Caenorhabditis elegans: one gene and its partner. The protein of the gene in region 2 interacts with the protein of the main gene of each other region in a pairwise test. Each region holds a gene or a part of one and is shown on either strand. Other genes may lie near its edges. The genes, in order: lin-37 and btbd-10.

The links.
Region 1: the proteins of btbd-10 (region 2) and lin-37 interact in a two-hybrid assay, tested with the Caenorhabditis elegans proteins (3 studies listed by BioGRID).

Annotation. Positions count from the first base shown.
Region 1 is NC_003281.10:7,070,629-7,074,555, reverse strand, and holds lin-37 (uncharacterized protein), read left to right. Parts: upstream 1-2,003; coding exon 2,004-2,128; intron 2,129-2,177; coding exon 2,178-2,312; intron 2,313-2,749; coding exon 2,750-3,029; intron 3,030-3,076; coding exon 3,077-3,246; intron 3,247-3,436; coding exon 3,437-3,554; 3' UTR 3,555-3,666; downstream 3,667-3,927. Other genes in the region: ZK418.13 (Pollen-specific leucine-rich repeat extensin-like protein 1), read left to right, coding at 1-272; ZK418.5 (BOS complex subunit TMEM147), read left to right, coding at 723-795, 842-975, 1,153-1,350, 1,401-1,537, 1,588-1,723; tmem-17 (transmembrane 17 domain-containing protein), read right to left, coding at 3,671-3,832, 3,900-3,927.
Region 2 is NC_003280.10:4,903,264-4,907,190, reverse strand, and holds the start of btbd-10 (BTB domain-containing protein), read right to left. Parts: upstream 2,184-3,927; 5' UTR 2,133-2,183; coding exon 1,982-2,132; intron 1,924-1,981; coding exon 1,805-1,923; intron 1,337-1,804; exon of another isoform or gene 1,335-1,336; coding exon 1,268-1,334; intron 1,032-1,267; coding exon of another isoform or gene 952-1,031; intron 1-951. Other genes in the region: sgt-1 (SGTA homodimerization domain-containing protein), read left to right, coding at 3,398-3,554, 3,608-3,927.

The DNA of each region.
Region 1 (3,927 bases), on a different chromosome or scaffold from region 2:
AGCAAGAATCCATGAAGGACATCCCACCGGGATCACCTGCATCTCCAGGAGCATGGTCTGGCTCCAATAGCTCGTTGATCTTTATGCCATCTTCTACTCAAGCACCGGAACATTATGCTATTCCATCCGTTTCCAATGTTTTGATGTTTCGTAAAATGGAACACATTTTCTACAGCTCGGAATCCAACTGGTGGTTGCTCGTGGCACTGGTGATGCTCACAATTTTTGCGTACCGCTCTTCTATGGAACAACACACTTGCTATTACGATTGATGATTATGATTATAAAGATCTTTTTATTTGTAAATTATTTGTTTTAATACGAATTCGAAAAGTCTGCCATATGATAGAAAGTCCTATTCAAACTTCGCGCGTAAATGGTTCTCAATAAAGCGCGGTTGCACTACTCTTTTTTTGTCGCTCTTCGTCAACTTCTGGTAGCGTGAGCCCTTCAAATATCATCATTCAAATGCCCATTTTATCGATTTTATTGAATTTTAGTTATTTTAAATCCAATGATTATTCTCAAAATGAATTTCATAATCATCGGCTGGTGTTTTTGAAGGTTTCTAGTGTGTCCAAACGAAATTTATAGTCCTAAAATATTAACATTCAGTAATTCATAATTGCTTAAGAATTAAAAATTACCTTCTTTGTTCCTTGATATCAAGTATATAGTTTTAATATTAATTCAATATCTTTCAGGTAAGCTAAATCTACAAAATGTCATTTTTCCATTTCATCAATTGCTTCGCGTTGGCATTTGCACCATATTTTATTGTCTACAAATACTCAGGTAATATTTTTTATGGGAAGTCAATGAAACACCACTATTTTTATAGGAATTAACGAATACAGTTCCATCTGGAAATGTGCAACTGCTAGTGGTGGATATTTGCTGACACAACTCGCCAAACTGCTTATCATTGCCACATTTTTCCCAGCCCTCGACAGTGAAGGATTCAGTATTGTGCCGGTATGTAATTAATTTTTCTATTCAAAATTGGAGCTATAAATAACGTTTCAATGAAAATCATTTTAATTCAAGTTTTAAGTGAAATTTACCATAAACCCATCCTCGCCGGACATAATCCTTCGGACACTTCAAACTTATTGATTTTGGTTTTCATTGCCAATCTCAGAATCATTGCAGGAATTCCTAAAAAGCAGTGCTGACATCATCGATGTCATTGGGCTTCACCTTCTGATGACCAACTTCTTAGCCGGAAAAGGAGAAGTTCGATTCGTTGTCGGTGGTCTTGGCTGGGGATTCGCTCATTCTGTTGCTCATCGTCTTGTTCTTTTATGGGTTGGAGCTCGTGGAACCGCTTTCACATGGCGTTGGGTTCAGGTGATCAAATCTTCCTTTTTTCTGAAAAAAAGATAATATTATATTTTCAGACATCTCTTGATTCCTCAGCTGATCTATTGGTTATTGTGTCTCTCGCCTGCCTTACATGGATGATCACCCGCACTCCAAACAAGTTCTTGGTGTCACCGATCCTTGCGATGTGTGTCTTCTCAACATTCGTTTATCAGTAAGTATTGGTTTTACTAGTCAAAAAATGTAAATTTTTTTTTATTTCAGAACCGTTCAACACACATTCTCTCTCTACGGATGGTCTCTCTTGGCATTCCGCTTTGCCTACTCCATCGCAACAGCAATTCTCACCGTCGTTGTCTATTCGGCAAACCGGACAGCGTCCACAAGAAAGAACGAGTAGCAACACATATTCTGCTATAATTCACTTTTTGTCAGTTTCAATACTATCTTAGATTCTTTCAGAATTTATATATTTATTCGAAATTTTCTTCTCTCCTTGTTCATGTTTATACAAGTACCCAAAAATATTTATTGTTTAATTTAATAACTGCTTCAAAAATTGTCGTCCTTATATTTACTCTACAATTTTTATCTCTTTTTATTAAAGGTTAAATACCTTTATTACTTTGGCAAGTATTCGCTGTTCACTGTCCAAATAATGTATTCCTCTCCAATTCTAGATGTCAGAAATAGATCCACTTGCCGAGTTCTTGCTTCCAGAAGACGGAGATCGAAATGCTCGTCAAAATGATCCATTGATAAGCGGAGGTCCACTTCCATTGGAATCGCCAAGCAGAAAACTCACGTAATACTTTCTAAACTTGAAACAATTGTGCTACTCAAGATGCTTCCAGATCCCTGTTATCCTATGATCCGACAGTTCCGGAGTCACCGGATATGAAATTCGCCAGAAAACGTCTGGGAAATCTGCTGACAACCATAAAACATCACCCATCGGAAATAATTGGAGTACTCCCAGAAGATTATACGTAAGTGATAAAATGGAAAATTTCAATTCTTGTTTAATTTTCGGCAGAGTATACCATGCCTGGGGCGAAAAATCATTTTTTTTTTGGTTTTGATTTTGTATCAAAAAGCAAAAATATGTAAAAAAGCCAAAAAAAAATTGGAGATTGAATTTTAAACCTTAATATTTGAGAAAAAGAATTAAAAACTATGCAGAGCCACATTTAGTTTGAAAGAAAAGTAAAATAAATTTTGTACACAGAAAACGTTTACAGTAAATACAGCATTTTTTTTCAGTTTTTTGGTTCCAGATAAATAGTTAATTTTTGTCAAATGTCGCGTCCTGGAATATACATAACAGAAAAAAATTTAGACAATGTGGACCTTTTTGTTTTTCGTAATATAAATTTTAGACATAATTGAAAAATTAGAGTTTCCATTGCATTTTTTATAATTTCAGTCGTGCTGATGAAGAGCCCGGGCGCCAAGGACGTCCACCAGGTCGCCCTCGTAAGATGCCGCGTCACGAATCTTCAACTTCACTTATGGAATCACCACGCAAGACTATGACTCGTGATTCTAAAATTATGTTTGAATTGCGTGGAAAACCATTCGAAATGATAGCTGGACGTTTTGAAGAAGAATATTCACTTGGTAGAGCATGGGTTAAAGGACACATGAATAATGAATATGAACCAATAAAAGCTCAAAGGACAGACTATGCACCGAATCTGGCTGTTGTGAGTGGGAAAGATTAAATGAAAAATGTTATAATTATTTCCTTCAGGATTATCTTGCATGTCGCGAGATTCATCGAATGCCACGTCCAGATAAATCAATTCCTGAGCTGCCAATTGTTCCATCTAGAATCGATGAATTCGACGCTACAGTCGATCCAAGATATGAAACAGATTTGAAAAATGAATACATTCGTCATTGGAAACAAGTCAAAAAAGGGTAACACTTCTTCTGCCATTGAAAATTTCCGTAAAAATTTATTTCTTAAAGTATTACGGTAACTGTGCTCTATGTTAGAATTTCATTTGTCGAATTTTGTATCAAACTATAAAATAAAAAATATTGTACTAGCAATCTGTGATCACTACTATTTCTTCAAAGTCAGAGAATCCAAAAAAAAAAATTTCAGTTGGTGTGCTCATCAACGTCGTCGGACTGCTCCCCATGCAAGAAGCATAGCATTAATCAACAAAATCTACCAGCCTGGAGAGTCGAAAACTGTCGAGCAAGCACTTGGTCTTATTTAAATATTCTAACATGTAATTTCAATTTATCTCTTACTTTCTGATCTTGCTATCACATGTCTCTTATTTCAAAAATCTCACTTTAAAATTCATATAAATAATGGGTTTATTCAAATACATCATCTTGACAATTGTTTTTTCAACGTTTTTCTTCCACTTTTTGGAGATTTTCCTGAAGTTTTCTCGAGCTCGTCAGCTACTTTTTCTTGTTGAATCTTGTTAATATATTTTGCAACTTCTCGTTCGGCAGTTTTCATCAAAGCTTCTATAGCGAATACAGTCTGAAATAGAAATATTTTGAGAATATTCAGATTTTTGAATTTTCACTTGAAATCCACTAAAAATCACAATCATTGTGTAGAAAACGTATTCAAGT
Region 2 (3,927 bases):
TATTTTTGGTAGAGTTCTAGCTATAAAAGTGGGCAAGGTCATACATTTTAAAGTATCTGTGATGAAGTTGCAAACGGCTGCAAGTCAAGGGAGAATCCTTATGACAAAGATGAACTTTTTCTCACTTGAAAAGTAGAATTACAAAAATGATTTAGGGTTTCCACTTGAATTTTCTCCAAAATGAGAAACCACGCCAGCTAATTTTTTTTTGGCATTTTAAAGCAAAAACTACGGTATGGGACTATAAACAAAATTCTAATTACACTTTTTCAAAATTATGAAGTGCCAAGTCGTTTGGGGATGCGAAAACCCCAGAGAAGATGGTCCACAGAGTCCATCAAAACATTCACAACTTTTCCACATGACTCTTGAAACTTTTTATTTTGAAATCCGAACCCTTGAGGTGTCATCATGACGTAAATAATAATTCGGCGATGGATGGAGATATGAAAAAATGAAGAAAGTTAAGAAAACGGAGAGAGGGACAGTTGGCAACATTCGACCACCTGTTCACTTTTCTAAATTGTTTTCATTTTCTTCTTGGTCTTCGCTTTTTCCTCTTTGCACTTTTTGCCCAATAGAAAAGGATCTAGATAACTCAACTTTCAGTTCACAAACGAAAGAAAAACAAAATCGAGAATTCAGAATTATTATTCATCTTTTTATGAATCTATGATTATTTGTCAGATGGTCAAATGTCATTCAACGCCAATAAAAAGCATTTTTACAGGACAAAGACTCGTTGTATGTAATACAAAAGTCATTTAAAATTGAAATAAAATAGATAACATCAATGTTAAAAGTCTTCACATTTTCAGAAAACTAATCTCGTGTTTAAATTTTCAAATCCAACTAAATCCCAATCAGACTAAAAGGATGTTTTTGAGCTTTGACTCACCATTATCCGAAAATGTTACTTTCATCTCGTGGGGAAAAGTAGAAAAGAAATTATTAATAATTTGCACAGATATCCAAATTTAGAAACGAATTATAGCCTTGAGCAGGTGCAGAATTGCTTTTTTGGTTATTTTCTAAAACTCTAAGCCGATTTGTAATGATCGGATGTTTGGAGATTGAAAAATCTGGAGTCAATAAGCAAATATGTGTTTGTTTAAACATTAAAAACATATGTGAAGAAAAAAAGAGCGTTTTTCTTCTGCCAAAAGGTGAACGAGCCGGAAATAGTGATTTTCTTCCAATTTCGTAGAGCAATTTACGTCACAATGACGAGGGACACACAAAAACAAGAAAAGAAACGGAAATTTACCTTTTTTGAGTCCGGCAGGCGGTTGAGAGTGTGGAGTCGCAGGTTTAGCTCCAAATGACCAAGAAACCTGGAAAAATGAGATTTAGAGGCTATTTTTAGAATTATTGCGGTGAAAAGCGGAAATTTTTAATTTTAGTTTGCAATTTTTCCTCAAAAATACATTTCTGTGAAATACGAACAAGTGTGCGCTTTAAAGTTAATTTATTTCATAGTTTTTTTGCGAAAAAATGTTTCTTATACCAAAAATAACAATATAAACACATAAATATTAACGAATCGTGAGAAAAAGTAGAAAAAATTGATAAAAAATTCTGCAGGAGCGAGAGATTGAAAATACTGTACTTTTTAAAGGCGCACACTTGTTTGTTATCTACGAAACACTGTCGTGTCGATACCGAGAACCGCATTTACGGGTGTGCGCCTTTAAAAATTACTGTAACTTAAAACTTTTGTGGTATTTTTATCGACTTTTCATGGTTTTTATGTCTTCATATCGTTTTTTTTTGATAATTTTTATTAAAAAAACAAATATATTACCTGCTGTGGTGCACGAACAGTTCTTGTTGATGACGTGCTGGCATGATCTTTGCGAGATCTCTCGCTCTTCAGACATCCACGACTTGAAGAGGAACCGTCAGTTTCAGCCCCGGTTTTGTCTGAAAAAAATAAATTATTGATTTTTATTCAATCTGAATGAAAAATTCGAATTCTTACCATCATTATCCAGTGAAACATCAGATTCGTCAGAAGTGTTATCGAAGAGTCGTCGCGCAGGAGCATCTGGCACATTAACGCCATTATTTGCTGGGTTTCCAAAATTTGAAGATGATGGAATGTCTTTGTTCTGTTCTTCCGATTGAGACATGTTGTAGAATGGTGGAAGACGAAGAAGATGATAAGAGTGACAGTTTAATTACTGAAAATGTGCGAAATTTTATATAGTTTTATTTATTTAGGAAACAGATAGTGAAAGTTTGGGAGGAGTTGAACAGTATAAAATAAGAATGACAGGCAGAATGGCTGGGTAAATATTATTCAAATACAAGTATTTTCAAAATTCCGCAAATTTGAACAAGTTTTCATTTAAAAAACACATTTCGAACGGAAAATTTGGGTAAAAGAAAGCTTGGAACATAGTGAAAAAGGACTTTGCGAACAAATAAATTAAAATTTGCTTGATTTCAATTTGTTTTTTTCATTTTTTACAGAAACAACAAATTTCACAGCAGCGTTCTCCTGACTATCACACTTTTTTTTTGAAACAAAAACGAATAAAACAAGCTTGAAATAAAACTTTTGGTACCCAGACGTCTCTGGCCCCAAAAAATTTAAGTTGACGGGTGTCGACAGAGGGAAATGAGTGGCTTTTGGAAGGAGACCTGGGGCCACCAGTCAGCTTCTCGCTTCTTTTTTTTTCTCTAGCACTCTCTCAACTTTACAATACACTCTACGCGCTGCTGCAACTTTTCTGTCAAGTTGTCTGCCGTCTCTTCAGTTGAACTTGGTTTACTTTCGTGGCGAGACACATCAAAGTGACGGCCGACATGTGCCTTTGAGGCTGATGAAATTATTCCCGCAATTTCCAGAAATTTTTGCACTGATTCTGAAATAAAATGACGTTGCAATCTTTAATTTTACTCTTCGTTGTTCAAAAACTTTTCAATTTTATTCTCGTTACAATATTTCACTCTTCATTGACCAAATTTCGCAAATAGAGCGCTTAAATTCAGATTTTAAGTTAAGCATTTAAAATTAATACTCTTTTTTTTTAATAATAATAATAATTTATTACGCTCGCTGGGAGACGTGAAGGAATATAGAATACAAAAGTTATCATTGTTCGCTCGAACTAGAATTGGTGCAGTCGGGCAATCGTTTCCATTCCATTAGAATGTTGTCCTTGTCCTTGCGTTGTCCTTGCGTAGACTCCCCCATAGTGGGCGAGCGATTCCCGAGTGAAAATAATCACGGAATGCCATTTTTAAGCGATGCCATTTTCTATTTCTTGAACTATATATTTTTAAGAATATTTTAATCTGCGCTTTATCATGGATTTTCAATTCAACTTTATATTACTTTTCTAACTTCAATATAAAATTATTTAATAAATATATTTTTATTTTTAAGAAAATGTCCGAGGAGATCAAGCCTTCTGCTCCAGATGCGCCGACTGCTTCGCCAATTGTGACCAGAGACGAGCAAAATTTGGTTGTCTCATTCCTTCAGTTTATCCGCCAGAAGGTTTCACAAAATCAGGCCACTGCCGAGCAAGCGGAAGCTCTTGAAGGTTTTTTCCTATTTATTTCTATAAATTTAGCTTAAGATATATTAAAATTTCAGTTGCAATTCAATGTCTCGAACACTCGTTTGGTCTTGATGATGCCTCATACGCTTTCCAACCATCACGCCCAATTCTCGAACTTTTCAAGAGCGCCGAAGGACTTCCAGAGGGAGAATCTGCTCTTCCAACACCGAGCGATAGTGATATTTCTCAAGCTAACAAGCTTAAAGAAGAAGGAAACGATTTAATGAAAGCCTCCCAATTTGAAGCTGCTGTTCAAAAGTACAATGCCGCCATCAAGCTCAACAGAGATCCAGTCTACTTCTGTAACCGCGCTGCTGCTTATTGCCGCCTGGAACAATATGATTTGGCCATCCAA